Linked DNA regions of Xenopus tropicalis. The protein of the gene in region 2 binds, or shares a complex with, the protein of the main gene of each other region. Links are inferred from orthologs where the notes say so. Each region holds a gene or a part of one and is shown on either strand. Other genes may lie near its edges. The genes, in order: apool, chchd3, immt, micos13 and apoo.

What was found.
Region 1: chchd3 (region 2) and apool share a complex: the UniProt entries of both Homo sapiens proteins name them as parts of the mitochondrial contact site and cristae organizing system (MICOS) complex. The link is inferred for Xenopus tropicalis from reciprocal best matches to the Homo sapiens genes CHCHD3 and APOOL.
Region 3: chchd3 (region 2) and immt share a complex: the UniProt entries of both Homo sapiens proteins name them as parts of the mitochondrial contact site and cristae organizing system (MICOS) complex. The link is inferred for Xenopus tropicalis from reciprocal best matches to the Homo sapiens genes CHCHD3 and IMMT.
Region 4: chchd3 (region 2) and micos13 share a complex: the UniProt entries of both Homo sapiens proteins name them as parts of the mitochondrial contact site and cristae organizing system (MICOS) complex. The link is inferred for Xenopus tropicalis from reciprocal best matches to the Homo sapiens genes CHCHD3 and MICOS13.
Region 5: chchd3 (region 2) and apoo share a complex: the UniProt entries of both Homo sapiens proteins name them as parts of the mitochondrial contact site and cristae organizing system (MICOS) complex. The link is inferred for Xenopus tropicalis from reciprocal best matches to the Homo sapiens genes CHCHD3 and APOO.

The regions. Positions count from the first base shown.
Region 1 is NC_030684.2:63,232,051-63,238,186, reverse strand, and holds part of apool (MICOS complex subunit MIC27), read left to right. Parts: intron 1-593; coding exon 594-713; intron 714-845; exon of another isoform or gene 846-965; coding exon of another isoform or gene 966-1,046; intron 1,047-2,991; coding exon 2,992-3,046; intron 3,047-3,701; coding exon 3,702-3,800; intron 3,801-4,559; coding exon 4,560-4,651; intron 4,652-5,014; coding exon 5,015-5,131; intron 5,132-6,136. UniProt on the Homo sapiens protein: Component of the MICOS complex, a large protein complex of the mitochondrial inner membrane that plays crucial roles in the maintenance of crista junctions, inner membrane architecture, and formation of contact sites to the outer membrane.
Region 2 is NC_030679.2:85,995,502-86,001,637, reverse strand, and holds the end of chchd3 (MICOS complex subunit MIC19), read left to right. Parts: intron 1-2,702; coding exon 2,703-2,838; intron 2,839-5,510; coding exon 5,511-5,534; 3' UTR 5,535-5,893; downstream 5,894-6,136. UniProt on the Homo sapiens protein: Component of the MICOS complex, a large protein complex of the mitochondrial inner membrane that plays crucial roles in the maintenance of crista junctions, inner membrane architecture, and formation of contact sites to the outer membrane.
Region 3 is NC_030677.2:17,808,795-17,813,978, reverse strand, and holds the end of immt (MICOS complex subunit MIC60), read left to right. Parts: intron 1-709; coding exon 710-933; intron 934-1,011; coding exon 1,012-1,143; intron 1,144-1,753; coding exon 1,754-1,883; intron 1,884-2,044; coding exon 2,045-2,652; 3' UTR 2,653-3,016; downstream 3,017-5,184. UniProt on the Homo sapiens protein: Component of the MICOS complex, a large protein complex of the mitochondrial inner membrane that plays crucial roles in the maintenance of crista junctions, inner membrane architecture, and formation of contact sites to the outer membrane.
Region 4 is NC_030677.2:114,329,148-114,335,968, reverse strand, and holds the start of micos13 (MICOS complex subunit MIC13), read left to right. Parts: upstream 1-2,588; 5' UTR 2,589-2,671; coding exon 2,672-2,700; intron 2,701-2,895; coding exon 2,896-3,052; intron 3,053-5,741; coding exon 5,742-5,793; intron 5,794-6,821. UniProt on the Homo sapiens protein: Component of the MICOS complex, a large protein complex of the mitochondrial inner membrane that plays crucial roles in the maintenance of crista junctions, inner membrane architecture, and formation of contact sites to the outer membrane.
Region 5 is NC_030678.2:43,138,769-43,145,472, reverse strand, and holds the start of apoo (MICOS complex subunit MIC26), read left to right. Parts: upstream 1-2,342; 5' UTR 2,343-2,352; coding exon 2,353-2,361; intron 2,362-2,407; exon of another isoform or gene 2,408-2,422; coding exon of another isoform or gene 2,423-2,440; exon of another isoform or gene 2,441-2,442; coding exon of another isoform or gene 2,443-2,463; intron 2,464-6,704. UniProt on the Homo sapiens protein: Component of the MICOS complex, a large protein complex of the mitochondrial inner membrane that plays crucial roles in the maintenance of crista junctions, inner membrane architecture, and formation of contact sites to the outer membrane.

The DNA.
Region 1 (6,136 bases), on a different chromosome or scaffold from region 2:
TTTAAAAAGAGCTCATTCAGTTGAGCTGAACTTCCCACAGTAAATATAAATGTATTATTCTTTTTAACAGACATACCTGATTCCACAAAGTGAATTGAAGTTCACAAAGTGATGCAACTCCTCCCTCACTTTGTGGATCCTGGGACTTGAAGTCCCTCTACTTTACATAGTGGTTGGTTTAGATTCTTCGCAAAGCAGAGGGGCTTCAGGTCCCAAAATCCATCACTTCACAATGGAATACAGTTAGGAATGGGTTGGATCACTCTGTGAGTCTAAGGGGGAGGGAATCCAACCCCTGCAGAAAAGGCTGCATTTATATTTATTTTTGAAAGTTCAGATAGTGTCTATGCACTTTTCTTCCTAACCCTAACTGCATGAGCTGATGCCAAAGGAGGTATATGTTCCCTTTAAGCTTCAAAACTACCCATAACCCTGCTGAACAGGATAAGAGATACATGTTAAGTGATGATTTTGAAATACAGAATGAGAGTTAATAAATGTGTTCACCAATCAGTACCATAATTGAGCATTTATACATATATAGGCATTGTTTTAGACCTTGAAAATGCAAACAAAATATCTCTTATTTATAGCTATCTGTTTATTCCGTTCCTGCACAAAAATCTAAATATATCGAAGAACACCCTGGCCGTCTCCAGTCTGGATTGTCTTCAGTGAGGGAAACTATTTGGCCTTATGTGGTATGGGGCAAGGTAAGTTCTCCCATCTCTACTTCATCCTGTTCTTTAATATAGACCTCCTACTTATATTTGTTTTTATATTTTTGCCCCAAACAGATAAGTTTTTACACACTTCTGACTTGAATTCATATTAAGAGTTTACCATTTCAAGAAGATGCTTTATTAAAAGGTTGAAAGATGGTACTGATAAGCTGTACAACTTCTTGCCTATTTTTAGTTTTGTTTAAAAGTTTCAAGCCATGTGCACAGCAACTCCTTCACAATTTATAAAACACTGCCATTTAAAGTCCATAGGAGTAAATGACATAGTCCATTATCATTTCTGCTGTTTGCAGGGTTCCAGCCCTGTAAATAAAGAATAAAGTATCCGTTTTGATATATCTACACAAAGTCTATCAAACACACGAGCATGAGTTCCAAAGAAAAATGCAAACTCACAGTACATAAAAACAGATATAAATTATAATCTTGGTTAGGACCATGTGGATAAGGGGAATCCAGGTTTTTTTTATCCACCATACTTCTCTTTGTTTAAGCTTCAATTCATTATCCCCTCCCCTCTTGGGGGGGAATAATGTCCAATAAAGTATATTTAAGCTGATATGCAGCGTGCCCCTGTTCTTCAAAATGTTTGGAAAGTGGTAGCACCACATTCCCAACATTTATTGTAGGTTTATGTTGTAATATCCAGGATTTAACTTTTTTATCGTTTCCCCCATGTAAATCTATCCACACAGGCAAACTATAGCATACACAATATGTGCCTGTAACTCAAAACATTGTCCTGTGGTTGGATGTTGAAAAACCTTCCCTTTTATCACATTTGCACTGTTTACACTTAAGACAAGGATACATGCATATTTTTTAGGACCCTGATCCCCCTTTTTGGCCAGCTGAGGATACCAACCTAGAGTCAATTGTTGTACCCTACCCTACATTTCTCTCGGAACTCATATAGAAGCTCTCTTGTCTAGTAGCAAGTTTATATAAAATATATTGCTGTCAGAAAAGAAGCACCTGTCCCATTTGAGCCTTTTTAATCTGAATGTCTATGGTAGCCTATTCAGTGACAGACTTTTTTCACTGCCAGAAATATCCGGGGAATAAATTCTCTGGTGTACCAGAGGCCTTAGAGCTTATGAAACAATTTACATTTTACTAGTGCACAGTTACTGCACTGTATATAAATACACATAAATCCCTTTCATGTTTTTAATTTTGCTGTAACATTTAGAATTCCAAATTTTGATTGACTTTGTATGTGTAATTGTAATGTATACATATACAAATATGACAGTTCTGTCCTACCTTCATTTGCCCCTTGGTAAATGTGTAGCATAAGCTACTTAAGAAGAACCATGGTGCTTTCTGCATTGCCTGTATTGTACATGCATTATTCCCTTTTTTCTGCTGACAGTTTTTATCTATTTTGCTTTTTAAACTTAATTAAATTTTAAACATAAAAAATACACAGGTCAGCATAGCATGAGAGTAGCTAATATATCTCTAGTTCACACTGAAAGCTGATACAATAATAGCTATGATCAGGGAAAAGAAGGGACGGTTAGTACAGGAACAATCTTCAGTTTAAAAAAAAATTGGGTACACAATGTATTTTGTAGTTAGTCATGCAATATTTATTTAGAATAGATTGGCAAGCAGTAGGTTTTCAGATCCTTCTTCCACGCTGAAAAAATATTTTTGTTCCCTCCCCTCCATTTTGCATCTGGTGGCGAGGGTGGGGATTAGCAATCCTTACTTGCCCCCTTAAGCAGTGAGGTCTAGCCCCCTAAATGTTTAAAGGAGAAGGAAAAGCATTTTATTGCCAATAGATTAGTCACAATAGTGCAAGCTAGAACGCTATATTTAGCTTGTTCTCAGTAGCACTGCACTAGCTGCTGGTAGCTCAGACTACACAGCACAGTTGGACAGGGGAGAGAGATGATGGGAGGGAGGAGAGAGGCATAAACTGAGCAGGCTCGTGCCATGCCCTGAAGGATTTTTATGACAGCAGGCAGTCTGAAACAGATCATGTATACAGAATAAAAGGAAAGAAATGTGGCGTTTCTTTTCACTGAGGACTCAGAGCAGTGTTTCTGTGAGTGCTTATGGCTGTATTTACATAGACCTTTTCTTCTCCTTTAAACACTGTATACAACACATAGTTAAAGCTATATGTGAGAGTCCATGTTGTACTGTATTTGTGAGGCCAAAAGAAGTGTATAATTTTGCCAATCATCTGTGTGTAGGGACAGATAAAGTTTAACTTCTCCAACTCCTTTTTTCATAGCATTTTTGTTCATCTGTCAGAAATGGAGTAGAAGATACAGTACAGTTTGGGAAAGGTGAGTTCAAAGGGCTACATGAAGGATGAAAGCAAAAGATCAACTGAAAATTCAGGGACACAGCTAATACATGTTGCAAGGAAGCACTGATTGTATTTAAAATAAACTGCAATTAGTCAAGCCCTGCTAACTGAATTTTTAGGTGCTCTGGTCACCCTACCCCAGACCCTCTTACCCTTCCAAAAAGCAGGTTTCTTGAAGGCTGGAGAAGATTTCAGCATTGTAGAGATCAAATGAATTCAGAAATATTTTGCATTGCTAAACATGCTCTACCTACTGGTAGACAGGAGAATAGCAACCAAACAGGATAAACCTATTATGTGACAAGGGTTGTAGTAGGAGAAACCTTATATCTTATCCAAAAGCAGTTCTTTTGTGTAGTGCTGGCTTCTTCTTAGGACTCAGGGGCACAGGGGGAGATTAGTCGCCCGCGACAAATCTCCCTTGTCACGAGCGACTAATCTTCCAGAACTACCATCCCACCGGCGAAAATGTAAGTCGCTGGTGGGATGGCACACGCTGAGCTGGCGATTTCAGCAAATCGCCCAGGGGGAGATTAGTTGCCCACAGTTACTCTCACCTAGGACCGCTTTCTGCAGCAGGCTGTTTTTATGCAATGGGTTTTGGATTCTTATAATACTGATTTTTGTTTCAGATAGTTATGTTTACCTGAAAAACCCTCCTCCAGAATTTCTTGCAAGATTGGGTATAATCACAGTTAGCGGTTTAGCTGGTTTGGTCTTGGCAAGAAAAGGTAAGATCCCAATAAATTATTAGATTATGTCTGTGTTATTTTCCATATGATACATTAAGCCAGATTTTTCAAATATGTAGCACTGAATGGTGTATATATCTTGATTTCAATTCATATTTTTGTTAAATGTCCATCTTTTATATTGTCAGTAGCTGACAAACAGAGCTTAATGTTTCACTATATATCTGGCCCTGCCCCTAAGCTACATACAAAAGTAATATCCAGGACACATCCTTTAACTAGCATCAACACTATTACAGGTTCCCTCAGTGGGGCAGTCTGCTGGTTTTTGATTCCACTTAAATAAAAAAAGCGTTAAGACAAAGCAAATCAAGATGCCTTTTTATAATTCAGTCTAACATGCCTTCTATTTCCATCTTTTGGCTGGAACATTATTTGTAAGACCGCAGCTTACAGTGGTGGGCACTAGGGAAGAAGGGACTTCTCATGTTATGCCCCACTTACCACACTTATTCATATACAAACATCATCTTTTTAATCAAAGTCCTTATTTATAAATTCATTTTCTACCTACTGAACTGAAAGTCATATAATGCTAATATATTAATAGGCTTAGTAAATGTTTTTCATGCCAAGATTATAGCCTGATTTTAAAGGTCAGCTGATAGAACTCAATAATTTAAGTTGATAAAACATACATATGCATTTTGAGACAAGATTGTTTACATACTGGCAGTTTTAAACAGTTTTTATTGTATCCTTGTTTCTGTTTTGATTGTTGTATTTTGATTTTAACAGGATCCAGACTAAAGAAGATTGCTTACCCCCTGGGGCTTACAACATTAGGTATTTCAGTTTGTTATCCAACACAAGCAGTCATTTTTGCAAAGGTGAGCAGCCCATAATGTATTATTAATATGGAATCTTGGCCATTTTTTATATCATTGAGATGCTGCAGTGTCGCTTAACAGCTGCAAGCGCAAGCAACATATTTCGCTTAGATTACAATTCTTGCAAATCCGGAATCACCAGGAGTGCTGAATAATTTATTTCTTATATATATTTAAACCTGAACAGTGAATATTAGCGATCAGAAAGCTATTTGCATGAATTACCTGTATGCCTTTAAAGCTAGGACTGTTCTGTTCTTACTGATCAGTTAACACTGGAACAAACCAGTAATGACATTTGTCTTTATAGAGCTGTCATTTCCACTACTCATTTTCTAAAGGTGCATGGATTTGTTCTTCCAGTTAACAGGGCGAAAGATTTATACAGTAAGTCATCAAACATATGATACATTGAGTTCCTTGTGGAAAACAAGCATCCACAAAGAAGATAAACCTCAAACACAAACAGAAGATCTTAAGGTATTAATTCTCTGTATTAATATAGTTACACAAGTAAAACTGTGCTTTTAAGTCTGTAGTTCTTATAATGAAATGGTTTTTTATACGTGAAAGCACTGGTACTTGCCAAAAGATAATTTCCTGTCTGAAAAGGGTCAGTACCAGCATTTACTCATTTCTCACTGAAGTGAAAGGAAGGCAGCAGCTGCCATTTTGGGAACTTTTATGTCAATAAAATATGTGAAATATTCCAGCATGGAATACACTCCTTATGCCATCAGCCTAAAATAAGAACTGCTGCTGAAAACAGAAATGAGACTCCAGCGAGTAAGCATCAATAATGTAGAGTTCTTGTCCTCAAATGCAAGAATGGTTACTGTGATGGATTTAAAAAAAAATAAAGATGATAGTTCGGAGAAATAAGCACTAGTATTATATATGTGATTATTTTTACTTTTTTTAAGAAATAAGATTAATCCTATTATTGTAAGGAGGGCTAGACTTTTAGTTGTAACACATACTACAGTGCCTGGTGCCCCGGAAGCATTTATAGGGCTGCTCTTATGAGCTAAACTAGAATCTGCAGCATAAACATTGGCCTACCACACAGTCTCTAGTCACCTTTTTGGGAAAAGAAAAAGTACATTATAACATTTCACTATTTCAAGCTGCATTCAACTGTGTAATTATGACAGCCATGGGATAAAAGGGCATTTTGTTAGAAATATGTTTTCCAGATGTCCAGATACATATATTTGTCTTCTGTTATCACAAAACAAACATGCTGAAACTTTGGGGGTTGTGTTTTTAATAATTTGGTCAGATAGAGAACTGTATAGATTTAACGGGTGCATATGACTTGAGTGCAAATGAGTACTGGGGCTCATTTATCAATACTGGGCACGTTTGCCCATGGGCAGTAGCAAAATTGTAGCTTTTATTGTTATACCTGCAGCTGGCTGTCACAGTACTTAGTTATATCCACCTGTTAAATGAGCAGTATACATCAATGTATCATTATGAGTT
Region 2 (6,136 bases):
GAATAAAAGACTCCTTTGTCTCTTCATTGGCTGATGTAACCTAGCATGGATATGTGCCCTTGGTTTTATTTATATGAATCAAGGTTTTATATATGGACTGTTTTTTGTGTGTCAATTTATGTTCTTATAGTAATCTGTATACTGCTCATGGATGTAGGAGTTAACTGACACCAGTTTTCTGTATTGGCAGTGTACCAATGGCAGTGCATTAAACACAAATAAAATTGGGGCACAGACTATAAGTTGTAGTACAGACTGTTCTCACAATATATTTTTATTGTATGACAGTGTCTGAATGTAAAAGCAGTATTAATACTAGAGGCATTAATGCTAGAGATCAGCATTCAACCTTTTTAAGTGGAAGAAGACAAAGACAGCATTTAAATCTCAATATTATTTTGAACTGAACTAAAGCTGTTCTGTATAAATGGGTTACTAAGCAAACACAGATACATTTCCGAGATCAAATATAAAGAATACTGGCAGAAACCATTGTGGATTTTGTGTTTATCGTAATTGTTCTAACTAAATTTTGCAGAATTAGTAAACCATAAAAATTGGTAGGAAATCTAATTTAAAGCCATGGTGAGCGAATTCAGTAGTTTTGCTTATTTTTAAACTAACTTTGAAGCATGTAATTTGGTCACTTTGCTAATTTTCCTTTTAAAACAATGTATGGTATCACAGGGGACAGGTTTGGTAAACGTATTTTGAGGACAGCATGCAGTACCAGTTAAGCCATTTCTATTACAGTACATTTTTTATTGGGTTAAACTGTATTAGAGCACAGATTATTTTACTCTTAGAAAAAAATTATATTTTTAATACATTTATTAAAAAATGTATAATCAAATCAACCAAATTGCACAAAAACATTTAAGGCTTATGGCACACAAGAACAACAAAAACCATGTTAGTACAGCATGGATTTGCAAACTTGAGTCTAAAGCACAAAACTTTCAGAACAGTGGTTTCTGGACAGATAAGATTGATGTGCAATATGTAGCACCATGTCTGGTGGTAAAGCTCAGTGGCAGTCGGTTGCTGATGTAGCTATATCTTGTAGCCGCAGGGCCTGGATGTGCCAGATCACTGTACAAAAAAGTACCTAATTGATCTAATTAAACGTTAACACCAAAAGATTAAAGTGTTTTATATAGACGTAAAAACAATGTGCTGTTACACTGCACTGGTAAGGTTATGTGTACCCATAGAGCTAGCCATTAAATCTGAATAGGGCAAAAAGGCTTATGTTTACACATAACACTCATTTGTATACAGTTTCTTTGGTGTAAAATATTTTACAAACGTTTATAAATATGCCTTTGTGCATTTAGGACAAATCAGTCAGCTTGTATTACTAGTTTTACAGTTAATGGTATAAGGGTATAAGAAATACCGTACATGCTTGGAACCATAATTTTGATCAACATATTTTCATTCTGCTAAAAATTATTTAAACCCAGTAGGAATGTTTTGCTACCAATAAGGATTTACACAGATTAGGATCAAATAGAGGGTTCTGGAATATAGTTTCATCTGTTCTTTATTGTTGTATGTTATACTTTCTAACTGGTTTTTTTTGTAGCGCAACATGTGTGCCAGGCAACTAAAGTGGTTGTAAACATATTAAGAAATTTGTTTTCATGAAAATGTGTAACACGTTCTGTATGAAGTATTTACAAGCAGAGGTTGCAATGGCTTCATGTTTGTCTGACTTGGTATCCATTCCTATGTTTTATGGCTGTATGTCTGACAGTAATCGCATTTGGAGTTTTCCCAACAGTGAAAACTGTGCATTAAGTGAGCATAACAAGTACCTCAGATCAATAATGAGGCCAGCACTTTCCCCTTGTATGTTAATCTAGGAAAATTCTTTGTTGGTGGAGGTAGAATCATTTCTGTTGAGGCCTCATCAATATCACATTTGAGTGCTGGAAATGGATATGGTGGCATATGAAAATACAATGAGTGCTAGTCATAAGCAGACAAGATGTCCAGGGATTAAAATGAGTATTGACTGTGGAATGAAAAAGCTCATTTGATTTATTACATGCCAAGAGCAGTGATATGTGTGGGTCTCTGTTAATGTCACCTCTGGCATTTTATAAAACACACAGCTCCCATGTTTTTCCTTAAATGTTATGTATGTTAGGGGTTGACATAACCTTTCTATCAATATGCCACTAGCACTTTGCTCCGAAGGCATTGCTATACATAATAAATGGGGTTAGATAGAACTAAGAAACCAAAAAACATTTTAAGATAAAACGAATAGACAATACATCAGGAGGAGGCAGCACCCTTTCCCTTGTGTAAGATTTAAAATCAGTGCCAAGTTCATAGTGTAGGGTTATCAGGCAGAAAGGAGCCTTGTACTTAATACCAGCCATAGACAGGATGTAAAGACAGGGATCCCTGTGCACCTATTTTCTGCCATCATTAAATCGGTCTTCACACTGATAATCTGTCTCATAGACAGCCATCTAATCTAGTGACTTGTGGGCTAGTTAACCTTCTTGGTTCTGTTTTCAAACTGATATGAAATATCCTGTGCTTTTGCAAGTAATGTGCATATTTAGATATCAAAATGTAGTACTAAACAAAGATATAAGATTTAAAAAAAACCTGATCCATTGAATAATCATATTCTTGTAATTACAACAAAATGTATTGACAGTGTCCTTCATTTTTCCACTTAGGCGATATGAGGCTCATCCAGTTTGTGCTGACCTGCAGGCTAAAATTTTCCAGTGCTACCAGCAGAACCCACAGCAGTCTCTTAGCTGCTCAACATTGGCCAGCCAGTACCTGCATTGTGTCAACGGTGCCAAACAGGTGAGTGTGAAGCTGCATGGTTTGGTGTGCTTGGAGGGAGAATGCATATCTGCAACCTGTTTTCAGTAAAAAAAATATACTGCACTTTCTTCACGTTCATGTTAGTGATAGAGTTGAACTGCATGTGGCATGTTCTTGCTCTGTTAGAATACTAGGGCAGTAGTTAATAGCACATGCTGAAGCTCATAAGGCAGAGAAGCACTTGCACCTTTTTGTCATTTGTAAAGATATTACCTTATTTATGTGCTGATCAGCTTGTCTGAAGTTTAAAATACAAACTGTGATCTCAGATTAAATTCAACGATCTTATAATGGTTGGTCTTGTAATGGAGGATGTGAATTATACGTTGCCCAGCGCAGTCAGACCAAGTTCCCTATAGACCAGCTGTATGTTTAATATTGTTGTAAGGTGGGAGGAATTTGTGACCTTAAGCTCAACATTTGCCATAGGAACATTTATAATCTAGATGTCCTCACAGTAAAAAAATCCTTTCTGTAATGATATCCAAATTTTCTTTGCTTCAGCCTTCATGGCTCATTACTTATCACCTCTATTGTCACTAGACCAATATATGATATTGGTCTGTTTATTTAACTGTGCATGATAATTATAGCACCTATGTAGAATCTAATACATTACTTGTGCATGTATGATTTGTGTATTAAAGGTCCCTAAGCACAGCAATAAATGCTCTAGACAGCTAAACAAAGGTAGATGCCAGGGAAAAGGGGACAACAAGCCAGAATTCACATGATGTGGGGTATTAAATATTTTAACTGAATAAAACTGCTTTATCATACAGTAGCCTTACTATAGGTCTTTGCTGCAGCACTGCCTCTGTGTATTTCTATACCTCACAGAATGTATGCCATGCATCTCTCTTTAAATTATTTTAGTTTATCCTGTGATTCTTTATTTTCTTTAATTTCTGCATGCACTCACCAATCAAGCCCTCCCCTTAATTGACTCATCTCTCTCTAATATCCCCTTTCTGCTTTTTTGCCCAATAGATTTTATCCAACAGCCTTTGCTGTTTGCTTTACTAATTAGCTTTTTTTGCCTTTTTTAATCTTTTCTTTATTAATACTTCATACAAAGTTTAAAGTAGCAAAACTTCTGCATAAAAGGTAAAGCTGACATGCAGTTTGCATCTCCTTATGCATCTTCCTCCCTGCTTTTTTACTGTCATCTTCTATCCTGTGCTTTTTACTTAACTTTTCTTTCCCTTTGCGCTTTGTCCATTTTCCCACCCACAGTATTTTGCCCTCCCTCTTTTGACCTTTGCATTTGATCTCCCTTTGCATCTATTCCCAACCCTACCACTCTTGTGCCCTACATTTTATCCCACCTTTTACTGGTTTATTCTCATTCTGCCTCTGCACTTTATCCAATCTATTTAGTCCTCCAGCTAAACTGACACATATGTGTACTTGCCTTCTATATAGATTTTCCAAAAATATAACCTTAGGTGGGATAGCTATTTTTTTTTAATATTACAAATATTGTATACATATATCTTTTTATATGTTTCACATTACACAAGATATAGTAGACACTGAAATACAATCTACATTTAGCCTTATGGGTTTACTCTGTTTAATATGTTGCAGTCAGTAAGTTATCATCAACTGCTCAGAGAATATGGCAGAAGTTATAAGATTTGATCCTCTAGGACAACCGTGATCTAACACCTTTAATTTTGCAATTGTACTGCAATATTAAAAAAGTTTAATGCTTGAGAAAGTAAGGTACAGCATTTGCTGGAAGGAAAAGAGAGAATGTATTGTATACACATGCTGGAAAGATGCAGATCTCTTGTGAACTGAAAGTTTAGAAACCAGCATCCTAAGAACAGTCTCAAAATTACATTTATTGATTGTTTTTTTCCTTTACCTCAGTAAAACCTACATTTAAAAATACAAAATGTTCTTGTTCTTCATCTGCCTTTACATCGAAGGGGTGGTTCAACTTTCAGTTAACTTTTTTTGTTGTTCCTAACAACTGTACTGTTGGTCATTATTTATTTTTTATAGTTTGTTTTTTTTTAATTATTTGCCTCTTCTGCCTTTTTCCCAGCTTGCAAACTAAAAAAAAAAAATTGCACTGTGAGGCTACAGTTTTATTGTTTTTGCTGCTTTTATTATTTATCCTCCTTTTCATTTTCCTCTCTCTCATTCAAAGCACAAGCTGAGAATGGCAGAGCAGGTAGTGCCATTTTACATTATGTATAAGACTTTGTGGTTAATTTGATAATGAGCTCTGGAATATGGAAGTAATCCTAAATAAAAGCTTACATGTGTGAGGTGTACAAATTTAGACATATAGAACTTCTTACTAATTTCAAGATTAAGATTAATGGCACAGGGAGGCATTGTCACTGGCTTTCCTTTGCAGGCAGATAAGAAAAAAGGGCTTCCGTTGGCTCCTTTCTTATATCTGCACTGACAGGCAGGTGGAAAGTATGCATTTTCTAGCCAGTATATGCTCCGTGTGTCTGCACTCAAGCCAACAAAATAAATGTCAATGCAGATACTGGGAGGAGTAGATTGGCGCACAGAGAAAAAACCCAGGCAGAAAGAAGCCAATGCACAGTGCCATTAGCCTAAGCAGGATTGGGTTATGGGTGCTCTGAATGCTCTGATCCGCCTCTAAATTATTTGTTTTCTTCCAGAGCCTGCTTGGGAGAGGAGGGTAGAAGCCCTGTTTGTGGAGAAAAAGCATCTCAACCCATTTTAATATAAGGCCTCAGAAAAGAATAAAGCAAAGGACATAACATGATCAACGCTTGCAGTTATTCTTTATATCCACTTTGATTTATTAAATTATAAAGGTTTCTTATTGGATTCTTCTCTTTTTCCTCATAAGTGGCATATGTCATGCTTTGTCAGACCTTAAATATTGGCCTGTCTATTAAAATGCAATTGATGCCTTTTATGTAATGTAACCTGATGTTATATTATCTTGTATTGTATTTAACAGTTGCATATCAACATCTGTGCCCTATATTTTGTCTGTTTTAAGTCAGGATTCCTAATAAAAAATAAATTAATAACATTTATATTTTTTCGAATTTACTTTTGCTAAAGTAAATTGTGCTGCTTCTAACTTATGCACATTTTTTAAGAGGGGAATGAAAGCCAATGTGAAATCTCTTGCAACCTTGCCTGTCATAATTTTTAAGTGTTTCATGTTTGTTTTAATATAATCTAATCTAGTGTGTTGCCAGTCCAGTGTAGCTGTAGGGGAGCTTTGATCAGAGCAGTATGTGTTGTGTTACCACCAAAGTAATAGAGAACT
Region 3 (5,184 bases), on a different chromosome or scaffold from region 2:
AAGTGAGCGGATCTTCTCCCGATATACCCCACCTACGGGTGGGCGATATCGGGAGAATCCAGGTTAATTAGCCCTGGGGCCAAAAGATCGAATTATAACGACGGGTATAGGCAAAGTTGGTCCGGAGACCGTATCAACAAGCCAATGCGGCCCCCGATCCAACTAGATTTTTTAACCTGCCAGATCGAGATCTGTCCGATTTCAGGCCAGATATCGGTCGGGCAGGCCCGTCGGTTGTGCCCATACACGGGCCAATTCGCTGCCAAAACGGTCTAAGGCAGGGGTCCCCAACCGCTGGGCCGTGTACTGCTTGGCACTGGGCCGCCGCCGTTCCCCCGGAGCCCAATGCGGCGCACATAGAGAGGTGGAAATGCAACGCGCTTCACATTGAAAGGCATGAACGAACGCGCCGTAAGCAAGAAAAGCGAACGCGGCGCGTGCATTAAGGCGCAAATAAACGTAAGACCGCGCCTGCAAAACACCACCCCCTAGGGGACTAGGGGCCAAGTTCTGCCATCCAGAGATGAATGCATAGACTTGTAGAATGCTTAACTATTTAATCAAAGCCATAACTAGTAGCAGAGACCCACTGGGCTCTATAGAAGCATATGAAAGCTGCTGGAGTCCCTAAAATGTTATTGCAAATCTTTGCTTAATGTATTTGTTGTGGGCTCTAAACTGGGGTTTTAACTCTGCCTTTTCTGTGCAGCGGGGCGGCTGAGCGCAGACGACCTGAATTCCCTGATAGCCCACGCCCACCGGCGCATCGACCAATTGCACAAGCAGCTGGCAGAGTATAGAGTGAAAGAGCAGCAGCATATCGAGGCCGCCTTGGAGAAGCAAAAACTGGAGGACAAAAAGGCACTGGAGGCTGCCGTTACCAAGGCACTGGAGCACCACCGAGCCGAAATCCACCTGGAGCAGGAAAAAAAGGTCAGCAACGGCCAACTCTTTCTGTAGGTCACAAAGAGACTGTTACGGGAAATGTCATTACCCTTGTGGCTATTGCAGGCGGAGGAAGTGCGAGAGGTGATGGAGGCAGAGATGAGAACCCAGCTGCGCAGACAGGCGGCCGCTCATAGCGATCACCTAAGGGATGTCCTGAATGTCCAGGAGCAGGAACTGAAGGCAGAATTCCAGCAGGTTAGAGGCTGCAACTTACAGTAACAGACCAACTGACTAAGCTGCTGCTATTTATTTATATGCCTTTGTCAGTAGTTTTAAAGGGCCAGGCACAGCAGCGTTTAATCAGCTGTTAATTAGCCGAGCAGCAGTGAGTTATATGGTAACTCAGAGCTTGGCCCATACAGTGATAAATTGCTCTAATCCCATCTGTTTGCTTGGAAGAGTATATTTGCTTGTATACATATATGTAATGTTGGCCACTTAACAGCCATGTGAAATGAGATGGAAAAGGTTTATGTATTTTAGTAGCTTTCTGGGGGGGTATCGGAGAACTTTCTTGCATGCCTCTAAATCATCCCCCGTGTTCTTATTGCATCAGACTCCTGGGATGTAATCCCCAGAGCCTGACAAATTGGCATATAAAAGCCAAGCAGTATCACTAAATTTGCCAACTGAACAGCAGGTGGCGCTGTTTTAAACAGAAAAACTAGAAAAATGAAACAAATCTAAATTGCAGAAGTGCTCAAAAGAGCATTGCCAGCAATTCTACATGAATATGCTCCGAGGGTTAACTTTTCCTTTACAAGAGGGTTACCACATTTATCCTAACAGCTATTGTTTCCCCCAGTCATTATCAGAGAAACTGTCCGATCAAGAGATGCAGTTTAAACGCCTGGCACAGGAACAGCTGGACGGATTCACGTTGGACATGAACACGGCGTATTCCCGACTGAAGGGCATCGAGCAGGCTGTCGAGGGTAAGTGTGGAAAATGTCTGTGTCTATGGCATCTTACAGCAGCCCCTCTGGCATTTGCCTGAACCCACAGATTGCCAGTCCAGGCCTGGTTTGGTACAGTAAGTGTCCAGCTGTATCACAGATCCCCCTCACACATATGGAATTCTGCTCGTGTGTTTCAGGGCACGCAGCTGCTGAGGAAGAAGCCAGGAAAGCCCATCATTTGTGGCTTTCGGTGGAAGCTCTGAAGTTCACCATGAAGACAGCCGCCGGCGATAGCCCCACGGAACCACTTGAAACTGCGGTCCAGGGCATCCGTTCCAGCTGCTCCAACAATGAATTCACCGAAGCCTTGACTGGGGCAATTCCCCACGAATCCTTACACCGCGGCGTGTACAGCGAGGAGTCCCTGAGAGCCCGCTTCTATTCCGTCCGTAAATTAGCCCGTAGGGTTGCCTTGATCGATGAAACCAGAAACAGTTTGTACCAATATTTTCTATCTTACCTGCAATCCCTTCTTGTTTTTGAGCCAAAGGAGCTGAAACCACCAACCGAACTCAGCCCCGACGACCTCGACACCTTCAAATTACTTTGTTATGCCTCTTTCTGCGTGGAACGTGGGGATCTAGAATTGGCAGCAAAGTTCATCAATCAGCTGAAAGGAGAGTCCAGAAGGGTGGTGCACGACTGGCTGAACGAGGCCAGATTAACGCTAGAAACGAGACAAGTTATAGACATCCTGTCTGCTTACGCCAGTGCCGTGGGCTTGGGCACAACACAAGTGCAGTAGTGACATCACAGAAAACTACAAAATTTGACATTTTGTTGCAGTGTTGAAATTCATGATCCCGTCCCCCATAAACAGTCACCTCATTTAAGTTCTGAGTTGTTAAAATTATTTACCCAATCAAAGTACCACTTAGTTGCACTCGGCTCCCCGGTACCGAGATACCACGGCATTGTATTATTCTTTGTTATCATGAAGCCCTCAGTATCATACCATACGTCTTTATGTTCCCGGCTTCCACTGATCCAACCCAAACGGTACCATCTACTGCTGTCAAACTTGCTCCCTCCCAGTGCACTCAAATAAACAGAGATGAAGACTAAACTATATATTTTTGCCTTAATAAATTGGATCTTATTTGTGTTAAGTGCTTTGTTTGATAGCCTGCCATATGGGAAATATTGCCCTTATTATAATAGAATTCAGACCAATAGGCCATACAGAGGCTGATTCTAGCTGCCGCTATGGGTCCTTTAGACCAATTGGGCAGCTTATTGGCCCATGTATGGGCACGAATGACGGGCCTGCCCGACCAACATCCTGAAATTGGCCAGATCGGGCAGGTTTGCCGTCAGCTCAGGGCCGTACCAGCTTCTTGATGTGGTCCCCCAACAGATGGTTGTTTGGCCCCAGGGCCAGGGCAGAACATGCTCACATTTTAGAAACTTGATTATAGCAGCCACAAGCAATATGTGGGGCATAAATATACATTGGAAAATTCATTTCCAGCAATCACAAGGGAGGGCTGTGGAGTCAGAAGCAATTTTGAGTACCTGGAGTTGGAAGTACCAAAAAAGAGTCGAAGGATTTATGTACAGACTCCGTAACCCTGGCTACAAGTTAAATGTTAAACCGCCCCCCATGTCAGTTCTTTAGGATGTATGGAAGTACTTATACATGGTCAGTAAAGAAATAAGGGACTCCCCAGTGCCCGTTTACACAGGAAAGCAGAGATTCCACATAAACAACCTACAATTAGTTATAATGACCAAGAAGCAGTTGGCTTCCAAGACTTATATACACATCCCCATAGAGGGACACTGCCAGGAAAGTGCCCTCCCCTACGGGCTTTCTACTGAGCAGGAGCCTGACTCTTCAGAATGAGCATTGTTTGTATACTCTCCCTCTATAACAGTGGTGCCTGAATTTTTTTTTTTTTTTTTAACTCATGACCCACACTCATATGTATCCGCACAAGCATGAAAAAAGTTCTTTGGAGATGCCAAATAAGAATTGTGATTTGGTGGCCCCTTGTGGACTGCTAGGCTGAAGGAGGCTCTTCTTGGAGTAAAACGTCTCCGAGCCAGAAATGTAAAAATGGCGCCTAATGGTTGGGGATCACTGCTCTATAATATCCTAGTTTGCACCAAGAAAAAGCCAAAGGCAATAAACAATGTGCCACTAACCCAGCATGGATGGGTGACAAACTGCAAGAGGACCCGGCGCATTAGGGTTGTTCTTTAGCTTGAAGACACCACAGAAGATTCAAAGGATACACAAGAGCCTAGGAGTACTGGGCTACATGCTAGCCACCCCTATTCCAGAATTGCTTCCTCTGATACTGGAATAGAAACCATTCCAATCTATATCATAGCAATTTAAACCCACAGTATCCCTAAGGGTTGGGCACTCCCCCCAACACAAGCTCATGTGTATTGGAACCAATAGGCTTTACATAGTTGTTTACACAACAGGAAACCCTCCATTTGAAAACCTCCAAGATCATTTTTTTTTTTTTTACTGGAGATGTAGCACAAAGGCAAATCCATGGGGAGCTTACTCTTTTCTGCTTGACTCAATATCACTTCATACCAGTCTGAACTGATTCTAAAGGTGGCCATACACAGGCTGATTCAGGTCCTTTAGACAGATTTAACCATGGATGGGCACCAACGACGGGCCACCCTGACCGACATCTGGGCTGAAATTGGCCAGATCTTGATTGGGAAGGTTTGATTTGTCCTTCGGATCAGGAACTGTATCAGCTTCTTGATACGGTTCCCTGAACCGATGGTGCCTATGCCCCCGTGTTAATTCGATCATTAGGTCCTAGGGCCAAATGATAGAATTAGCCAGATATCTCCCACCCGTAGGTGGGCATATTGGGAGAAGATCCGCTCGCTTGGCAACCTCATCAAACACGAATCTCTTAATGTATGGCCACCTTAACAGTCTCCCTCTTATGGGATCTATGAAATGCACTCTCAATTCTAATCCGATGATTTATGCCTCATGCAGCGGTCTGTCACTTGTTGGTGAATAATCGCTGATGTGGCATCGCTTATAGGGATTGTTTACCTAAAGACTTACTTTGAATGTAGAGATTGATCTTCTGAGATCATTTTTAATTGGTTTCATTCATTATTTTTGATTATTTTTTTGCTCAGCAGCTGTCTAGTTGCTGGCATCCAATTTACCCTAGCAACCAGGCAGTGGTTTGAATGCAAGAGTGGAATATGAATAGGGGAGGGCCCAAGTAGAAAGATAAATAACAAAAAGTAGCAATAACAATAAAACTGTAGCCTCACAGAGCAA
Region 4 (6,821 bases), on a different chromosome or scaffold from region 2:
TTTGTAAGATGACTTGAAATTTTACTGACTACAGAATCTTTCAAAATGTGAACCCTAATTTCTATATTTAAATTAGAACCAACCAACCTAATCTAAAATCTCATCTACAAAAACATTTACAATTTCAGGTGACTGAATCTTGTTTGTTAGTGTAGAAGGGTAAAGGTCTTGCCAACCTTTTATTCAGGTAGTCCCGTAGGAGGGTTTTGGACAGCTAAGAGCTCATCTTGATTTACTATTGGGAGTAAGAGTTGTTTCCCAATAAAGTTGCCACATTTTCTGTAGAAAATATCAGCCTTCCTATATATATTTATCTTTCTTTCTTTCCTATTAAAGAGATACTGACACCAGAAATGAAACCTTTTTTTACATCTGTCATAACACTGTTTTTGCATGCTATTTATAATTTTGCCATAAAAGTATTTCCCCAGTGCTTTTACATTACCTATCTGATCCCCCATGTTGCTCTATGAGGGGGCTGCCATATTTGTGCAGCAGGAGTCCATTAGCATTAGAAGTTATAACTGACAGGCTGAGAAGGGACAGTCTGGTTGGCAAAACAGTCAGGTTTAGGAACTTCAAGTAACAATTACTTACAAAACCAGCCCTATCAGCGAAAAATTATTAACATTACTTATAGGTAACTTTTTGGGGCACATTTACTAATCCACGAATCCGAATGGGAAAAATTCGGATTGGAAACGAACATTTTGCGACTTTTTCGTATTTTTTGCCATTTTGTTCGTCGCCGTTACGACTTTTTCGTAAATTGTCGCGACTTTTTCAAAGCCGTTACGACGGCTGGCAAACCTTGATTTTGGAAGCCTCCCATAGGACTCAATGGCACTCTGCAGCTCCAACCTGGCCCAAGGAAAGTCACGATACTGAAGCTTGAATGAATCCGAAACTTTCTAACTCAGCGCGACGGCTACGAAAAAGTTGCGACAATTCGCGCAAGTCGTAACGCTACGAAAAAGTTGCGACAATTTACGAAAAAGTCATAACGGCGACGAAAAAGTCGTGACAATTTACGAAAAAATCGCAAAATACCGATCATTACGAAAAAAACGCATTCGGACGCTTTTCGGACGTTCGTGGATTAGGAAATGTGCCCCTTTATGTAGATTCATATTTTAAATAGTAGTTTTTTCATTTAATAACATTAAGACCAAATATCATTTTCCGGGCTGATAAAATACAGGCCAGGTGGCCTGGCAGTTTAGTAACTGACCAAGTTGTCAGGTTCCCTATTCTTAAAAAAGGAAAGGTACCACATATTCTGTGAGTTTGGTCCCCACTAGCTAGAAGAGTTGGTTTGTTAAAGGGCCTATGGTTGAGGTAAAACTCAGTAGGTAAAGCACTAGAAGGTTTTGTAGTAGTTTGCTTTAGGAGTGAAAGCCAGGATCAGGGTAGTTAGTAGAGTAGTCAGAGACTCTAACAAAGAAACCAAGGAAGGTTAGTACCCTGCAAAGTCACCTGCCAGTATAGGGACTCAAGCGCTAGGGTCAGGAATAGGAGATTTCAAGGGACTACTGTAAGCATCCACTAGTGCTGGGGACTACCTCTGGGGTGTTGTAAACATTACGCTTGTGATTAGAAAAGAATACCATCCAAAGAATTAAAGTATTTGAGCATTTATGAGACAACTGATGTTTGCACCATCTTATCCTCCAATACCAATAACCAATGCCAATAACAAATCATCACATTGGGCGTATTAAAAGGATTAAATGGGTATGGCTAATTTTATGCTGCCACCTTTCTGGTTTCTACCTGCTTTTTACCAGGACAGCCCAGTTTTCAAAAGGGCTGTCTGGGTCAAACCTGCATGGCCAGTTTTCCAAACAAGAAAAATAAGCAGGATTCTCCTACACTGATGCAGAACTTTTCCAGATTGCTGTAGCAATGTGCCAAATGATACCCACCCCACCCTGTCTGGCTTTCAGAATGGGAAAAGGTGGCATCCATATTTGTACAGTAGTGCTACCGTATTTGGTTTCTTGATTCTTGAGCTGGTGTTGATTTTCTAAACCAGATTATTTGGTTGGTCAGAAACCAACATCAGCAATGGTATAGGGGGTCATTGGTCAATCCAAACAGGACTGGGCTGTACTCTGCTGTGGTGTCTTTTCTTCTGCCCTCTTGTTTGCTCTCCCATTTTAGCTTTTTACTTTGGGATTTGGTCGAATCCCAGTCTGACACATTGCATACAAAATGGGAAGTATTCTAGTGTACAGCTAGTTGTACTAAATGCCAAAATTTAACTGGTGATCAAAATTTTATTTCTAGGTTTTCTTTATCCTGTGGCACCTTATACAATGTCAATACACAACTGCTTAACCAAAAACCATATTATCACTACGCTTTATGTATGCTAAAAAATGTAAACTTTGAATAGTAGTTCTTTTGTTCATATGTTTTATATTTATGTGAACAGCTATAGTTAAAATTGTATCATATATAGCAACAATACAGGCTATGGAACAATGTCACCATTTATATAGTTAACGAGGGTCATTCAAACTAAACGCTTGTTATCTCAAGCAAGCGTTTAGAAAAAACCCATATATTTTCTCTACACTACAATTACCGAGATGCTTTGCGAACTGTCCGTCTCATGTGATCGGAAGTAGAGAGGCTGGATGCGCGGCGTGTCCTTGGAGGGGGAAAAATGGCTTCCGCAGCATTGAGGATACTCAAGTGAGTTTGTGTCAAGCGCTGCTGCTTTTAACTTACTGACAGAAAATGTCCGTATTCAAGAATTCTTGCTGGGCTGTATTGTCGGATATAGTTAGCTTCAAGCTTTACGAATACCACGCCCTAAGGCTTTCTGCTTCATATGGAGAATGAGTCTGTGCGAAATAAATGGTTTTAGCAAATTCCTACTCATTTTAGGTTTGCCACCAAAGCAGGCCTGGCTGGGGGAGCTGTGTATGTGGCGTATGACCAGGGGCTGCTGGGCAGTGGCACCCAAGGAGAGGAGGTGCTGAAGAAGACCACAGCTGCCATACCGCCTGCCATTCAAGAATGGGCTAATTACTTCGGCTGGCAGGTAAACTAATTAAAGAGGTGTAAGTGTGTGTGTCTATATATCCATATCATATATATAATAGAAAGAGTGCCGCACTCACAGGGACTTGATACAAAAGAAAGTGTTTTTATTGAAAAAATTCCAACATTTCGAGCACAACCAGTGCTCTTCCTCAGGTCCACAAGTCCCTGTGTGTGCGGCACTCTTTCTATTATATTTTTGTTTTTGACCTGCACCAAAGGCATTTGGACTTGTATAGGGTGTGCTCCTCCCTGTGTACCATATCACACACACACACACATATATATATATATATATATATATATATATATATATATATATATATATATATATATATATATTTTTCCTTATTGGATGCAAAACAATCCTATTGGGTTTATTTAATGTTTTATTGATTTTTTTAGTAGACTTAAGGTATGGAGATCCAAATTACGGAAAGACCCCTTATCTGGAATACCCTTGATCCCAAGCATTCTGGATAATGGTTCCTATACCTGTATAAGGAACAGCGTAACTTATTTTGGCACAATCCCTCCTGTACAGGTTAGTACAGTGCTATACAGCCACAGTTCCATCAGTACATTACAGAGCATGTGTAAATGTTTTTATAGCATGTTTTAATTAAACTGCCTGAGGTGATGTGGCTGCTCTAAATTTAAGCAATGTAGATTATGCATTGCTCGCGTTAAACAGTCAAACATGGAGGTTTACTACCTCTTTAAGCATTTTAGACCAATGTAGATTATGTTTGTAGCATGCACAAGGCCTTAAACTAGTACATTATTGTATACTTTGTAGTGCCAACATATTCTAAAGCTCTTTACTGGGACTGAATTATACAGTATATAAAATGATAACAATAACATGTAAGAATGAAGAGAGGTCCCTATTCACTAGAGCTTACAATAAGGAAATGCATTGACTAAAGGTCCCCATACACAGTAAGATCCGCTTGCTTGGCAAGATCGCCAAGCGAGCAGATCTTCCCCCGATATCCCCACCTACGGGTGGGCGATATTGGGGAGCTTGAACGACCGGATTATGTAGGCGGCAATGGGGCAGTCGGTTCGGGGACCGCATCAACGAGCCGATGCGGTCCCCGATCCGACTGGATTTTCTAACCTGCCCGATCGATATCTGTCCAATTTCAGGCCAGATATCGGTCGGCCAGCCCGCTTGTTTCTGCCCCTACATGGGCCCTTGTATGGGGGCCTTAAGGCTAAATGCTTGCTTGGGCAATGTAATATGAAATGTATCTTAAATAAGCTTTTGCAAGTTTTCTTATTGCCCTGTGGATCAACCAGTTTCCCCAAAGACATGCACCTTCATAGAAAGCCTTCATTTGTGAACAGTTAAACATATGATGGAGTAGTGCACTTTGATTTTAAAACAGGCAAAATCCTATTTAAATGTATGTACCACTGTATGTAATTCTTTGTGACAGTGACATACACACAGAGAAATAATGTATTCTTTGTTTTTCTCAATGTCTGTGTGTATTACCCATGGACAATTGTTAAATAGCATTTTTAAGTATATTTGCAGCATGGGAGAGGTCTTGGAGGTGTTACATACGGTTGAAAAAAAGACCAGAGTTCAACCCTTCCAAGTAAACCCAGCACACAAACCTATACTGACCTATCTATGCACTCACATACATAAACTATATATACAGAAATTAATACTAACTGTAGATATTAGTGTAGCCCACCCTAGGGTATGGCTTGGTGTACTGTAGTTGTGACTGTGGTGACACCCCAAAGATTCCCAGTAAATACCAACACAAACAGGAAGTAAACCCAGATTTATTACACAGGAACTGGGCTGAAAATGAGTTAGAAAAATTAAATGCAGATAAATGCAGAAAGTATGAACAGGCAGAAATAGCAATAACAGTGCAATGCAATGTAAACTGCACTAGCAGTTAAGTTCTAACAACAAAGTTTGGGAGCTCCCCTAATGTCCTATAAGCCGGCAGCGTTGGGGCCCTTAAACAACAATTTACATCCAGGATGCTTGTACTTTGTTATTATAGCTTCAGAGGAAACCAGCTTGGCTACATTAGTATCACAATAGCCTTGGATATTCTGCTTGTTCAAGAACTCATCCAAGCCCCTCCATCCAGGCATTAACAGAATCTGCGATTGCAACATCACTAGGAAGGGCATTCCCCAACCTCACTGCCCTCACCATGAAAAACCACCTACGCTGCTTCAAATGGAAGCTCCGTTCCTCTAATCTAAAGGGGTGACCTCTGGTGCGTTGATTGTTTTTATGGGAAAAAAGAACATCCCCCAACTGCCTATATTCCCCTCTAATGTATTTATACAGAGTAATCATGTCCTCTCACAAGCACCGGAAAACATCCCCTTTACCAGTTTAGTTGCAGTCTCTGCACTCTCTCCAGCTCATTAATATCCTTCTTAAGGACTGGAGCCCAAAACTGCACTGCATACTCAAGGTGAGGCCTTACCAGGGACCTATAAAGCGGCAAAATTATGTTCTCATCCCTTGAGTCAATGCCCTTTTTTTTTATACAAGACAGCACTTTATTTGCTTTAGTAGCCATAGAATGACACTGCCTGGAATTAGCATTTGTAATTTGGGAATCAAATCTTATCATGCTCTGTTACATTTTTTTATCATGAGACCAGATAGTCTATGGTAAACTTAAGATGATCTTTTTCAGATCCCATCTGCACCAAAATTAGACTTCTCTATCTGCGAGTCCTGGAATTGGGGTAAGGATTCCATGCATTACTTGAATAGAATCCAAATAAAATGCCATTATGTGAATTACAATTAGACACAATCTACATGCTCTTTGTATAGATTGTTTGCTTTACAAAACAAACAAAATTGTAGCTTCTATAGTGTAAGACACTTGGACACCCATATGTTACAAAAAATCACAAAATAAACACATACAAATGTATACTTTACATAAAAAAAATGCTTTCTTAATTGTGTTTAATGTAGGTGTGCATTGTTACTTTAAATCCAAAGCATTTATTAATTGGCTACCTGTGGAGCTGTCAAAATGCAGGGATTTCATATGTAATAGTAATGTGCGGGTTGACAAATAGTCAACCTGCACCCGCCCCTTAAAGAATAAGTAAAATTACTCTAAACAGCCTCCAGAATTACCTACCTTTGTCCCAGCATTCTCTCTGACCGGGTTCCTCAATCAGAAGGTGTTCTTTTTCGTTGCTTCCTTGTGCAGAGTGAAGCCCCGCCCCCACTTCCTGTTCAGGTCTCTTATCAAAAAAAAAACCTGGCTAATGCACAGACTGGCTCCTGCTGCCTTTAGGCATGCACAGAAGGCTCTCCACTCCGACAACCTTGTCAAATTGAAGAGAGAACTCATAGAAAAAAAAAAGTTTACTTATTCTTTAACATCTATTTATAGGCCTTCGCCCACCCCGCACCTCCACATCACGGGGCAGGTGTTCACCTTTAAATAGATGCTGCCATAGCTGGAAGCAGGGCTCAGCTAGGTCATGGGCGGAGAGGGTGGCAGACGAGCTAGGCCCGAACTTGTCTGCAACACACTTCTGATGTGTGGATGTTGGCCTGACCCGTGGGTCCTGCAGGTTTTGGGCTGGCCAGCACATCAGCAGTACGTAAAGAACTCAGGTTTGTCACATGGTGACAATACGTTACATACTAGATAAAGACGGGTGATACATAAAGTGAGTTTGAGAAGTCTATAATATATATTTTGCAGGTGATTACCATTTACAAGTAGACATAGAATATAAACCCTATT
Region 5 (6,704 bases), on a different chromosome or scaffold from region 2:
TGATAGTAAATTGGCCCCTTCTCAAGTGCCAGAAACCCACCTTTTCTCAATAGTAAGTTACAAACTGTCCAGTAAAACCTGCACTCCTATAAACGCTCATTGATCCCCCAACCCAATTTTTCTGTTGATCAGCCAATCTACAAGCAAGAGTCTTGCTCGTAGATTGGCCCCACAGCAGAACAAAAATATTGCAAACATTCCAACAGATAGTTAGTAATTTGCAGATGCTATTTCCAGAATTAATAATCCATATATGGGCCTCATTTCTCTAGAGCAGTGCTGTCCAACTTCTGTTGTACCGAGGGCCGGAATTTTTCCGACCTACGTGGTGGAGGGCTGATAATGGAAGGCAGTTTTGACCACTCCCCTTTTTGAAACTGCACCCACTTGAAACCACACCCATGTTATCACATGACCATACCCATATTAATGGTTGTAGTACAGCAAAAACCTGCCATACTCTGCCTGCCCTACCCTGTCTGTGTGTGCCATACTCTGCCTTCCCTACCCTGCCTGTGTGTGCCATACTCTGCCTTCCCTACCCTGCCTGTGTGCCATACTTTCACTGTGTGTGCCATTCTTGGCTGGTTTGTGCCATACTTGGCCTGTGTGTGCCATACTCTGCCTGCCCTACCCTGCCTGTGTGTGCCATACTCTGCCTGTCCTACCCTGCCTGTGTGTGCCATACTCTGCCTTCCCTACCCTGCCTGCATGTGCCATACGTTCACTGTGTGTGCCATTCTTGGCTGGTTTGTGCCATACTTGGCCTGTATGTGCCATACTCTGCCTGCCCTACCCTGCCTGTGTGTGCCATACTCTGCCTTCCCTACCCTGCCTGCGTGTGTCATACTTTCACTGTGTTTGCCATTCTTGGCTGGTTTGTGCCATACTTGGCCTGTGTGTGCCATACTCTGCCTGTGTGTGCCATACTCTGCCTGTGTGTGCCATACTCTGCCTGTGTGTGCCATACTCTGCCTTCCCTACCCTGCCTGTGTGTGCCATACTCTGCTTGCCCTATGATGCCTGTGTGTATGGCACACACAGGCAGCCTACAGTGACACAATGCTGGCACTGCTCCTACAGTATGCACAATAACTATATATTAAAAAACTTTTTAATTGTAGTACCACCTCAGTATATGTTCTTTTTGTTGTGTGCAGGGATTATTTGTGGGTTTCTACTGCTCCTGAGGTGTGAACAGGGGAACAATGGGGGTGATTACAGCCTGAGCCTGAGGTGTGAACACTGCAGGGGGTGAACAATGCAGAGATTAAAAGGTGTGAACAACACAGGGGATTACATGTTTAAACAATACAGAGGGATTACAGCCTGAATCTGAGGTGAGAACCATGCAGGGGGCCAGTTAATCTCAGTACTGATATCATTTAAAGCTTACACAAGAGTAAGCCATCAAAGCAGCCAGACAGGTGGGGGGCCACACAGAGGGGGGTCGCGGGCCGCCAGTTGGACAGCACTGCTCTAGAGCAAGCTTGTGATAAATGCTATGCCCCAGCCCCATGTGAAAACTAGGCAAATTGTTAAAGGAATACCCCCAAAATAATGAAAAAAACTGTAATTCTAAACAACTTTCCAATATACTGTACATGAACAGATTTACATTTAAAATATGTTTTGAAAGTGGAACCTGTCTGTCCCTATCATTTGCTGGTGGTTCTGACTTTTGAAATAATGTAGCAGAAGGCAGCTGATTAACAGACCTATAAAGAATCACAAAAAGCTGACTTCTTTTAAATTATTTTAAAAGAACAGAAAAGTGTTAGTTTGTAACCTATTTGTGGGGCTTAGTTACTCACACAGACTCGCTCTCCGGCCCGCTTCTCTGGGTTCCGGTAACCTAGGCAACCATGGCGGCGCATCTGTAGACTCCACCTACCCCACCCCTGACCAATTGACAATGGTAGCGCTTCACCTCTGAGTGCTTGGGATACTAAATACCCTAGTACTTTTCCCGTGGACAGTGTTTGGGAAGTAATACAACGGGTAGGATTAAATATAGGTTGCCTATAGCTCGGAGTGAAACACTTGTAGGGCCTATGTACTTGTAAAGGCTGATTTTTCCACGGTTGGTACAGATGAGGCGTACTTTTTCGTTTTGTTTGCTTCGTGGTATTTTATGAGCGGTACTTCAGCCGTTTGAACTCTTAAAGTGAATTATTCCCGGAGTGGGTGTCTTGTGAATTCATTGTTTATACACATTTGCTAAGGGGAAAAAACGCCTTTGGAGCAATTTGTTCCAAGCGAGCCCCTGTTGTTCTATGCGGTTCGGCGTTCTGTGTTGCTAAGGGAAACGGGGCCTGCTTGTTCCTGCAGCCTGACCTCCCGTCCGTTGCCATGTTCAAGGTGAGAGATGGTATTCTGTGTGTAAGTGAGGGGCAGGTGTGGGCAGCTAGCCCTTTTCTTGATGAGAGAGTCCCATGAGGTATGGCGTGTACGAAGCGGCTGGTATGCAGAAGGTTTACCTGCTTTGTGTTCTTTATTGCTACTCCTTGCAGCCAGACAGCATGTACCGGCACCTACAGTGTCTGCAGACACTACTACTGGTTTAGCCAGAGATGCCAGTTAGTCTATATGAGCACATTGAATAGTGTAAAGAGAGTATCATTTTCACCCCACTGAGACATAGAATATATTCTGCAAATAAATTACAAAGGGCAGCAAAAGTTTTTAATGGGAATATCAGTGTTCAACTTATCAGGACAGGTACAGTCTGAGCTTTGTCTCATCAGCTAATGCTTGGTGGGTAATAGGTTGGCATTCTAATGTACACGTACCAGTGTGCCTTCAGAGCTAACCATGGCCAAATCACAATGTTGGTTTATTTAGAAATGGACAGACTGAAATGTGTGAGGAAGGAATGCATCTTCTCTCACTTCTGCATTAATAAGGGGCATCAGCAGCTAAAATCTTCCGTTTGGAAAGGCCAAGTGTAATTGTGGAGCACAGTCTGTCAAATTTACCATACGTGCCCAAATGGTCAGGCTGTATGGTCGCCATGGCTGCACGGCCCACAAAAATCTGAGTAGTATCTTCACCTTAATTCAGCTCTAAAACTGTCACATTCACTTAAAGGGGAACTTTCACCAATATAAAAAGCTTTAAAATAAAGTAATTTTTAAATTAAAACACCCATACCTGTTATAAATATATTTAAAAATGTGAGCTGTCAGTCATATTTTGTCTGCCCTGCATCTATGCCTCATCATAGAATCAGGACAGTCAATTACTTTCACTTTACATTTGGCATTTACTAGATGTCATTGCACTCCTCTCCCCCTCCCCCCCTCATCTCCTTATGGTTTATAGTCTTGTAGCCTGTGCATGGGCATCAGGTCCCCCATTCTGATACATACACAAGATTTTGAGATAATACTAAACTTGCCTTAATAACAGTACCCACAAAATGGCACCTGCCACCTGCTTGCTGTAGTTGTGAATTCCAAAACTGAAGGAAACAAGATTTTAATTATTAAGATTGTGTAAGTAAAGTTTATTGTGTTTAGCTAACAAGATAGAAAATGATTTGGAATTCAGTTATTCATTTGTAGGGTGACAGGTCCCCTTTAACTAATACAACCCAAATTTTAAAGAGTTAGAGCCTAAATCTGTGTTTGTTTTCTTAGCTTTGCAGGGCGTACATATTTAAATGTTACACAAACAAACTTCAGTCTATATGAACTAAACCTCTGATTAGCCTATATCTATCAATCAAAGCCATTTAAAAATATTTTTTTTTTATTGTTAACATAAACCAAAATAAAGAAGCAAAAATGGTTAAAAACACACCCTAACCCATTTTTACCCAATTTCTTAAGAAATTTCCATATAGCCTGTGATTCTGAGTGAGGGGCCCCTCCTACACTGCTGCTGATGTTTTTATGGGTTACGGCAGTGATCCCCAACCTGTGGTTCGTGAGCAACATGTTGCTCCCCAACCCCCTGGATGTTGCTCCCAGTGGCCTCAAAGCAGGTGCTTAATTTTGAATTCCTGGCTTGGAGGCAAGTGTTGATTGCATAAAGCCCAGTGTAATGCCAAACAGAGCCTTATATAGGCTGCAAGGTCTACATAAGGGGTAACAAATAGGCAATTATAGCTCTTATTTGCACCCCCAGGAATTTTTTCCATGCTTGTGTTGCTCCCCAACAATTTTTCCATTTGAATGTGGCTCACGGATATAAAAGGTTGGGGATCCCTGGCTTAGGGTGTATTTTTAACCATTTTTGCTTCTTTATTTTGGTTTCTGTTAACAATCATTTTTTTTTCTATTTAAATGGCTTTAATTGATGGATATAGGCTAATTAGGGGTTTAGTTCATATAGACTGAAGTTTGTTTGTGTCCCCTTTAACTACTACACTAAAAGTTGTAAATAAAGGTAAATTAGTAAAAAAGGCCCAGGTATCTTTAATATTCTTGAAGAAAATGTGTAGTACAGAAAACTTTATAAAAAAATAAAATAAACCAGCTATGATATACTAGTATCCTAATTATACGTATAAGTATAGTAAGTAATAAAAAGTACAAAATGCATTTCCAATTGAATGAACTCCCTAGCAGAAACTGCTATCAGGAATCCCTGGGATCTAGGGTTTTCTGGATAAGGAGTTTTTATGTATTTTAGATCCCCATACATTTAGGCTATTAAAAAAATATAAACATTTTATAAAGCCAGTAGGATTGTTCCACCAATATAGATCTTTATTTACATCATTGTAAATGGCTAACTAGATTTGTGTTAATGCTAAAAGACACAAGAGAAAGGGGGTCCCATAGAGCTTACAATGTTAAGGTGGCCATACACGAGCAGATCCGCTCGCTTGGCGATGTCGCCAAGCGAGCGGATCTTCCCCCGATATCCCCACCTACGGGTGGGCGATATCGGGGAGCATTTAGGTAAAAAAAAAAATAATCCGATCGTTTGGCCCTGGGGCCAAACGATCGGATTATGTGGGCGGCAATGGGGCAGTCGGATCGGGGACCGCATCAACGAGCCGATGCGGTCCCCGATCCGACCGGATTTTCTAACCTGCCCGATCGAGATCTGGCCAATTTCAGGCCAGATATCGGTCGGCCAGGCCGCTCTGCTCTCCCCATACACGGGCCGATTAGCTGCCGAATCGGTCCAAGGGACCGATATCGGCAGCTATAGTCGGCCCGTGTATGGGGACCTTAAGTGAATGGGAAATATACAGACAGAAATGGGATAGTATTAAGTGTTGTAATGTTGAACCATTTTTCATTTTTTTAGTGTATTTTGCTCACACTAAAAACTACTCTTCAAAATATTAATGTTCATTTAGACGCAGATTTATCAAAATGTAAGATTAGACTTCAGCACAGAAAAACTCACCCACTTTCTATTCCCTTTTTAAAAAAGAAGCAGCAACCCAGGATGAAAACAGGTTTAATACTTTTAGGGCAATGTCACGTGGGGTGACTTGGGCCCTGCGATTTTTTAGTATCTTGGCTTAAATCATCTTGTGCCATTGGCCATATAATACAGTGGGGTTCATTTATCAATTCTGGACATATTTGCCCATGGGCAGTAACCATAGCAACCAATCAGAAATAGGCTTTTTTTTTTGCAGATAAAAAAATGAATGCAACAACGTGATTGGTTGTCATGGGTTACTGCCCAATGGCAAATTTGCCCAGTGTTGATAAATGACCCCCAGTGTCTCTTTACTGCCTTGTGGTGTTTTTTTTTTTTAGAATGGTGACACTAGAGGGCAGTAAAATGCCATACATGGAATCCGTACAAAGGGAATTGTTGTTCTTTTTGCTGGAAATGTACTGCAGTCACAATATGAGGTTTGTCTCCGTACTTGGTCCTATTAAGGGAATAGTCCTGGGTTCCTCCACACTGTGTTCACATAGGTCTGGCTTTAAAACCTACTTTTACCATTGTGAACTTTTTGAATATAAATATATATTTAATATTATATTTATACAGACACATGCATACACACCCATTGCTGTTGTTATAGTGCAGTCTCTTGTATGTGTGTATGTGTGATCAGAAATCAATGATAAAACATCAAAAATAAAATAAACAGAAGGGAAAGATTTGTGTCTCTAAATATATTCCTGTATCCCTTACAGGAAAATACAACTTTGTATAAGGAGAATAGTCACAAGAGTTTCCATGACCATATAAAGCAGAAAGTCATAAGCCAAGTACTTTTGTTTAGGCCAGTATCTCCCAATGACGTAATATCCTTAGCATTGGGATTACATTATTTCATATAATACACATCTAACATAGTTGTGTGATAAAAATTAGGTTTCTTTCAATGTTCTTAGGTACTGAAAAGCATTTGTTTAGATGAGCCTGAGACTATTGTTTGGATATAGGCTACACGCTAGAGAGAGAGCTGATTGAGGCCCTTTCTGAAGAGAGAAGGAGCAAGAGCATTGCTGTGCTGATCAGTAGGTTGTGCTGCGCCTGGGTAGGAAGGAAAAGGCAGCTGCTGTGGCACTGTTTGTTGTTAATGAGAAATCACATTAACATGCTGAAAATGAGGGAGAGCTGATAACTGGAAGGGTGGGCTCCAGAATAACATTTTTCCATTCCAAGTGAACTTCTGATGCACTTGCTGAAGGACTCCTGCTGATGAATAGACTCAGTGTCCTGTTTCAGACTAACCCAGATCATGTGGCTGTGGCTCATATTTCTGTTTCCTTTCT